2 linked regions of the Xenopus tropicalis genome follow. The protein of the gene in region 2 interacts with the protein of the main gene of each other region in a biochemical or structural test. Links are inferred from orthologs where the notes say so. Each region holds a gene or a part of one and is shown on either strand. Other genes may lie near its edges.

Evidence for each region.
Region 1: the proteins of parp2 (region 2) and hpf1 form a complex in vitro, tested with the Homo sapiens proteins (2 studies listed by BioGRID). The link is inferred for Xenopus tropicalis from reciprocal best matches to the Homo sapiens genes PARP2 and HPF1.

What each region holds. Positions count from the first base shown.
Region 1 is NC_030677.2:49,949,160-49,953,769, reverse strand, and holds the start of hpf1 (histone PARylation factor 1), read right to left. Parts: upstream 2,906-4,610; 5' UTR 2,879-2,905; coding exon 2,789-2,878; intron 2,634-2,788; exon of another isoform or gene 2,615-2,633; intron 118-2,614; coding exon 1-117. UniProt on the Homo sapiens protein: Cofactor for serine ADP-ribosylation that confers serine specificity on PARP1 and PARP2 and plays a key role in DNA damage response.
Region 2 is NC_030677.2:143,423,514-143,427,334, forward strand, and holds part of parp2 (poly [ADP-ribose] polymerase 2), read left to right. Parts: intron 1-365; coding exon 366-502; intron 503-1,790; coding exon 1,791-1,997; intron 1,998-2,460; coding exon 2,461-2,568; intron 2,569-2,656; coding exon 2,657-2,727; intron 2,728-3,821. UniProt on the Homo sapiens protein: Poly-ADP-ribosyltransferase that mediates poly-ADP-ribosylation of proteins and plays a key role in DNA repair.

The sequences.
Region 1 (4,610 bases), about 93 Mb from region 2:
CTGGTAGAAATCCTCAGGCATGGTGAGCCGATACTGGGCCTCTACCTCTTGTTGTACATCCTTCGAAACCTCTGATCTGCCCGAGTGCCTCTTTTTTGCATCACACGGTTCTTCACACTGTTAAGAAGAACATTTAAAACATCAGTATCAAGGATTTTAGTTACATAACAGAAATGCTGTAAAATAACTCAATTGTGCACTTGGACTGTGTTGTTCTAGATTTTCCATGCTGTGGGCCATTTACCCTTTCTTTCTCATGTAATACAGGGGATGGATTTTAAAACATTCAGATCATTCTTCTGAAGGGCCACCTTTGGCCTAAAACATCTAGGGGGGAATTCACAAAAGTGGAGATAGCCCTCTTTTGGAGTAAAAGTGGTGGAAAACACTTTCTCCAGATTCACAAACAGAAATCCGCCTAAATTCCGACTCAACCGCCACTTTTCTGTTTTTGGTGAAAGAAAGACAGTTTACAAACACTTTTGTGAATTTGTCGTTTAAACGACATTTATACGACGTTTTAACAACATTTTTCCCCCGACATTTTCAAAATGGAGTAAAGCTCAGTGTAACTCTGTCAGACCAATTCTAAGCTCTTCTGTTTTGTTTGGTTTCCCCCAGTCTCCATTTCACACCTAAGGTAGGGGCCCCATTGGGGGGTCAGTAACATATTAATGGGGATTAGCAGCCTATTGTTAGGGGACAAGTTTCTGTCTAACCCTAGAACAATAGGTGCAAAAGCCTCATTAACATTTTATAAACAAGTAAAACACTGATTAAAAAAAGTTTAATTTATATCTTATATATAAAAAGTTTTTACCTCACATTTGCATTGCTATGCTAGTTTTAGCTTAATCAATGAGACAATAATAACATTTTGCGTGAATATATTGTAAACATTTTTATTAAAAGGAAAAGTAAAGCCTCCCAGGCAAATTTTTAGTTTTAGCAGCAGTGCCCCCTCTTTAACCACTTCACTGACATTTGCCCCAACTTATCTGTGCCCCCATAGCCTGTCCAGAACTACAGAGCTGCCTGACAGCATTGGCCCCCACCTGCTCCCAGCAGCCATCTTGGTGGCACATACACACTAGCACCCAAACTGGGATATTGGGGTACAGGGTTGGACTGGCCCAACAGGGCACTGGATAAAAACCCAGTGGGCCCTAGTCCTGTTGGAGCTCTATTCACTGGGCATGTAGGTGTGGGGGCTGGATTGCTGCTGCCCAGTAATGAGCAGGGGCTAGAGAAGACGGTATTTAGACCCTTAAATCTTGTTACAGAAGTGGAATTACACAGAAATATAGAAAACATTATAAAGCCCAGATTGTCCTGAAAAAATGATGTATAGTTTCCCTGGGCAAACTAAAAATTACCCCTCAGGAAATGCCCCCAAAGTGAAATGGCATATAAAATGCAAAATCCTGCTGGTAAAATCCTTACCCCGAAGGCTCCTGTAGCTGTGGGACTGGGTTTGGAGGCACAGACAGATTTACTAACAGCTAAAGGCAAATTCATAAAAAAAATGTCTGGAAAATGACAAAATCTGAAAACTGTCTGTTTAAAAGACAAATTCACAAAAGTGGAGATAGATAGATTTGTCGGATTTTCCACCTAATTCACAAACATCTATCTTTTGTGAATTCCCCCCCTAGTCTTGCTTAAAATTGTATACAGCCGGCTTAGCTCAAGAACAATTGTGGAAGGCCCTAACCATCTATGCACTTTCTGTATTCAGTTAACCTCTGATTGCTGCTTCTCAGCTGAGCCATAAGCCTATTACAAGTCTAAAAATGCAATCTCAAAAGCCACTAATAATAAAGTGAAATGGCATTAGCAAAAGTGCTGAGGGAAACCAGTCCAAAACCTGCCCTTTATCCTTGCAACATTGCCAAGGCACCCCCCTTTCTTTCTCAAGCAACTGCTAAAATACTCACCCATGCCCTTATCCTATTCCAACTTACTACTAACCTCTCTCCCTGCAATCAAGCTAAACCTCTGGTGAACCCTCCCAATCTCTCCTAAGAGGGAACCCACTCAACCGCTGGTAAAATCTAGCTTTATCGTGGCTGCCTGTTAAGCAAAGGATAGCATACAAACCCTACTGCTAACATTCAAAGCCTTTCACTCCTCTGCCCCTTAAGGTGCCCATACACCTTAAGATCCGCTCGCTACGGGTGGGCCCTGGGGCCAAACGATCAAATTATAATGACGGGCATAGGCAAAGTTGGTCCGGGGGCCACATGATTGAGCCAATGCGGTCCCCGATCCGACTAGATATCGGTCGGGCAGGCCCGTTAGTAGTCCCCATACACAGGCCGATTAGCTGGCGAATCTGTGGGACCGATATCAGCAGCTAGAATCGGCCCGTGTGTAGATTCCACACTTAATAACAAAAATATCTTCAATTTAAAAAAGTGTCGTGTTTTTATATACTTGTCCTGTCTGTGTGTACTTTTCTATAAAGTCAAACCGTACAGTGCTGTGAATCCCAGTAGCATAATATAAAGTTAAAAATATATACAATTCATTGATCAAATATTTGGGTATAGATTCTCTTTAAAAGGCCAGCAACGTGAGGTAATGTCAATATTTGGAAATACATTTATTATACCTGTCAAAATACTAATTTCATGTGAGCACCAGATACACTGTGCTTTATACTCTCTTCTGAGCCACACATACTGGACCGCGTATCTTCGCGTATGTTCCACCTTACGAGACAATTAAGGAGCTAGTTTGCAAGCGCTTTTCGTTATGTTCCAGACATTTTACCCCTAGCTCTCACCTGCTGAGCAGCCGGCTTTTTCCTTTTCCCTTTCCCGCCTCCAGCCATGACAGGTCTCCTGCCTCTTCCGCGCACTTCCAGTGACGTCATCACAACGTGCCCTTCGCTTCACCTCACGCATGGCGCCTTTTGTTAGAGCCTGGCGGTAGCTCGCAGGGGGCCACGTATTTCATAAAATAAGCAAAGCTAAGGCAAGAATAGCGGACAGTGAACCTCTTACATCAAGGCATAACATGCCTGTAAACGGGACAAAATTACATTCTTCTTGAGCTGGTAAGGTGTAACTCTAATTAAACCACTAGAGGGCAGGCTTACTCCAAACAACCCAGTTGTCCAAGTAAGAATAGAGAATAAAGGAAATTCATACAAGATTATCGCACTGTGCAGTTCTAAAAATGGTCTCGGAATTTTATATTTGCAAGCATTTTTATGATGTTCTGCTTAAATGAAGTATTCTGGTATAAATGTGATAGGGCTGAGAATTATTAAAGGGTTGGAGGGGCTTGTTTGTTGGATACAGAAGTCTGTAAAGGCTGGGGCTGAAGCTCAGGGCCTAGGGCAGTGGTGGCAAATAAGGTTGCCCCCTGGCTGGAACGTTACTAACCTGGCTAGTAAAACTGATGTCTGCTGTCAATGTAAATAAGGAAGAAAGATAATATCGAAAGGCCAGTACTGTGTTACAAAAAAAGGTGGCAACCCTAATTATTATTATTAATAACATTTATTTATAAAGTGCCAACATATTCTGCAGCACTGTACAATAAGTGAGTTTCATACAATGGACATACAGAGTAACATATAAAGCAATCAATAACCGATACAAGAGGTGAAGAGAGTCTTGCCCAATAAAGCTTACAATCTTACAATCTACAATCACAAGTAAAGCAAAATTCATGGCTTAGGGCTGTGACACAAGGGAAGATTAGTCAGCGTGCAACAAATCTCCTTTGTTGCGGGCGACTTATCTCCCCGAAATGCCATCCCACCGGCTAAAATGTAAATGGCTGGTGGTATGGCATACGAAGTTTCCTCTCAAGACGCTCCCTTGCCCTTATCTCTACTACTCCACCTTGTGGTTGTGGGGTGTCCAATAAGGGGCCCAGTTACTAAAGTTTGTAAGTTTGAAAGGTTAAAAAATACAACTCTTATAAAGGCATCCTTTTGTATAACTTATAGCGCTGGCTTATTCTTGTGTGCCTGCTGGCATTCAGTAGCAAATGCGCTGCTTGAAGATAGCGAGTCCAGGAGTTAACGCTCTGTCTCCTCCCTGCTGCCGCCGGCAGCCTTACTGTAAGTCACATGAGCCGATTTTTATCTATCGCACATGCCTATAAAACTAAGTTCTCCTCTCAGCAATAACGCACAGCTCGGGACAAGTGGACAGATTTTGTGCGCATGCGCATTAGCGATTTGTGGTCAGCGCTTCCTTTACTAAGATGGCGGCAGTGTTACTAAAGACAGGATGCAGATTAGGAACAGGTAAAACTTTTTAATAAAAGGATTTTATGGACTAAAAACATAGCGATCTTCTAGTAGTATCAGAGACCTACTATAGGGGCAGGCATTATATTTTTACATTCATTCTTCTTTAAGTGTAAAAACCATTAAAAACACTAATACAAACATCTAAAATTATTTTTTTCACATGTAAGCTCGTAAATATTCTTCCAAAAAGGAGGCTCTTGAGGTTTTTTTTCCCATGCTTTTTATATTAGGCTGTTTTAATAAATTACTTGACATCTGTGGTTTTACATGAAATACCTGCTCCCATCTATGTGTCTTCTCGTAATATGCCAAATCCTATAGCTGATGTCACAGATTA
Region 2 (3,821 bases):
AGCCATTTTATCTTTTAAGAAACAGTGCAATTTCTATATGCTGCTTATGCTTAAGGAAAAAATTGCCATCAGTGGGGACTGAATAAGCCACCTACACAAAAAAGAGGGTTGACCAAATGACAACTAGAGAGCAGCAAATTTGAGGTATAAAAGAGATGCTACAGATAAGACACTGTGTAGCAATTTAGTAAAAGGTAATTACTCATATAAATTATATAAGTATATAATTACTAATATAAAATTATGATTATGTTTTACTTATAGTAACCTTTTACATTTTTATTGCATATAACCCCTCTTAAGTTTTTTGTGTGTTGAATAATATCTTGAAGTGAAAATTCAAAGTTGTTTTGTTTCTTCTTTAGTTCAGGGAAACGATTTGTGACAGTCTCACCAGCTGCAGGGGTGTCGATAAAGGTAGATATGCAGAAAATGGTTCAGAAAAACACACAGACTGGGTACCAGAGATTTGTCCGACTGGCAGTTCAAGATTGTGACAAATGTAAGATGCCAAATAATTTTCCCTGCGATCGTGTCTTTGAATCATTCTTTAATTTAGAGTATAAACATTTGACTGCAGAGAAGAACCAACATGTAATCTTTCAAATGATTAAAGATTTAAAAGATTAATTTCATAAATATTTATTTCAAATGGCCTTACTTTTGTGCAAGCCATGTATGCTTATAATTTAATATATATATATATATATATATATATATATATATATAATATGCTGTTACTTAATAAACGTCAAAAGCCAGCTTTTACTAATTCCACTAAAATTTTGCAGTTTGGGACATTGTTTCGTTCTGTGGAAGATATAAACTTATGTCACAAAAATAAGCAGTATGGACATAATCAGTTAATTATAGCTCTGGCATAGAATAGCTAATGCCATGTAATATTTATAGAAAGTGAATGTAAATGCTACTTATAGGCATCCTTCTTGCCTCAGACATTATAGGATAAAAATGGATTTAAAGGGGATATATAGCATATTCTAAAAACACCCTCATCATATAGGCAGTGCTAAATACATGGTGGCTGATTGTATTTGGGCCTAAAAGCGTCCTTAACTAGGAAGGGCAGATGCCATTAAAGGAGAAGGAAAGGCTAAGTCACTTGGGGGTTCTAAAATGTTAGGCACTCCCAAGTGACTTTAATCGCTTACCTTGTACCCCGGGCTGGTGCCCCTGTTAGGAGAAAACAGCACCAGCCCAGGGTACCTCTAGCGATGCGCTTCCTCCTTCTGGCTTCATTTCGCTGCGACTAGACGATAGGCGCATGCGCAGTACAGTGAAAAGCCGACTTCTCTGTTAAAGTTCGATTTTCACTCTACAGCGCATGCGCGCGCTCATGAAGACAGAAGGAGGAAGCGCTGCAGCTACCCCGGGCTGGTGCTGTTCTCTCTGAACAGGGGCACCAGCCCGGGGGAAAAGGTAGGCGATTCAAGTCACTTGGGCGTGCCTAACATTTTGGCACCCCCAAGTGACTGATTTTCTTACAAGCTAGCCTGCTTGTACAGCTTTTACAGTGACACAAGTCCATAGGATAGTTTTTCCAGCTTTAATTTAGCAGATACTGTGGATCAAAGTGGACAACCGTGGGTCAGATGCAACACCCTAATGATTTTGTTCCCATCAAACCACTACAGAGCATAACAAAAAGTTATTGTTTGTACTGTACTCATAACTTTTGAATCAGCTAGAAAATATCAGCACCTTAATTACAAAGTAGTTTTTTTCCTTGTAAAGTTAGTGTGCTTTATTGCGATTCTGTTGTCTTTCAGATTTTGTGTGGCAGTGGTGGTCTGATGAGGGAGACTGGATTTCCTATGATGCTTGCACGTGTGTGGCTCTGGAGGCTGGATTTCAATCAGAAGCTAAGATGGTGTCTGTAAGCTTGGGGGGTCGCCCATACATCATCGATTTAGAAACAATGGTGCAAAAAAACAGTCAAACTGAACATGAAAGACAGATTCAACGCTGTTTATCTGGTAGGTTCAAAGATGTTAAGAAAAAACCAGTGAACAAGTCTTCATAAAAGTCTTCTAAAATGTTTTGAAATTGCTTTGAGAGCGTTATTGAGAGAAGATTATATTAAACTAGGTATGTATGAGTGAATTCTCTTTTTTCAAGTTGGTAGGTAACTTGTGCTGATTTGATAAAGGCTAATTATTGGATCATATTTAGGAGCTATGCAGATCCAGGCAGAGGACCACAAATGCAGCCCAGTACAGTCCGTGTACTGCTGTACTGATCAGTATCCAACAAATACTAAATATCAGTCTGATACACTACATACATGGGCTGATAAGTTGCTAACTCACTCAAGAGTTGGCCGAGTGGGCAGCCAATATTGGCACATGTATGGCCAGCCTAGTTTACTAGTACATGTGTATGCTGTGAAATAGGAAAACATAAAAGGGCTTATCTGGCCTGGTTTCTCTTTTGCTGCAGGTCCTAGTAGTGCTCCTCAGCAAAAGAGCACCATTAGTGCACCTGCAAAGAGATCCCGTGGAAGCAAGAGTGTTATAAATGTAGAAGATGAATCAGAGGAGAATAAAGGTAAATATAGCAATATTTCTTTTATTGTTGAATTTTTATCTCTTGTGTCAAAAACAAATTATTTTTACTGAAGTGCCTCTTTAAACAGAACAGGTTAGGACTCTGGTAATGAAAGGCAAAGCTCCAGTAGATCCAGAATGCTCCACGAAGCTGGGGAGGGTATGTACCTAACTTCTTAATGACTATTTATCAAAGTCTTGCTGCACATGTAATGGACAAAACTAAATAGGCTACCTAGATTTTATTGCTCAACAATACTGCAAAGTCCCATGACAGAAGAGACCAACACAGGCATATGTTGTGATTAAATCTAGTGCCATGCATTATTTCTGCTTTTCCCTATATCCTGTGCCCCACCTAAGTTATCATTTAAAAAGTGCCAACATATTCCACAGAGCTATACAATAAATGGGTGTATGCAATACACACAAATATTTTACAATACAGAAACAACCAATAAGCAAAAGTCAAAATAAGCTTATTATTGTTATTAATTTAACATATTTATAAAGCAGAATTATATTCTGCAGTGCTGAAATAATCACTGAATTGCATACAAAAATACAACTGATAATCAAAAGAGGTAAAGTGGGCCCTGCCCAAAAGAGCTTAGCTCTTCAGCATATGCCATGCCCTCCGATACCTACTTCCCTAAACTCTCTGATATCTGCTTAGTATCTATCTTGCAGGGTTAAACATCTTCCTCCAAGCCATCCAATGACTGTGCAACCAAGCCAGATCTAAGTTGCTCTTAGTAACGTTAAGATTTTTCTCTCCCTAACAACCAATTTCAGTGCAATCCGTCAAATCTGTCAAATTATTGTAAGGTTAGTGGACACTAAATGATCAGACAGGTTTGAAAGTTTTCATTGTTAATGAAATTTGCCCATTGTTCAGTTGTTTGCAGGACCAAACAGGTAGTTTTTCTAGCTTCAACTAGACAATATCGCTTAAATATGGCTTAAAACGATCATTCCAGGATAAAGCTGCCCATACACGGGCATATCCGCTTGCTTGGCGATGTCGCCAAGCGATCGGATCTTCACCTGATATCCCCACCTACGGGTGGGCGATAGGGCCAAATGATCGAATTCTAATGGCAGCAATGGGGCAGTCGGTTCGCGGACCGCATTAACGAGCCGATGTCCCCGATCCGACTGAATTTTCTAACCTGGCCGATCTGGCCAATTTCAGGCCCCTTGTTTCTGCCCCTACACGGGCCGATAAGCTGCCGAGTCGGTCCAAGGGACCGA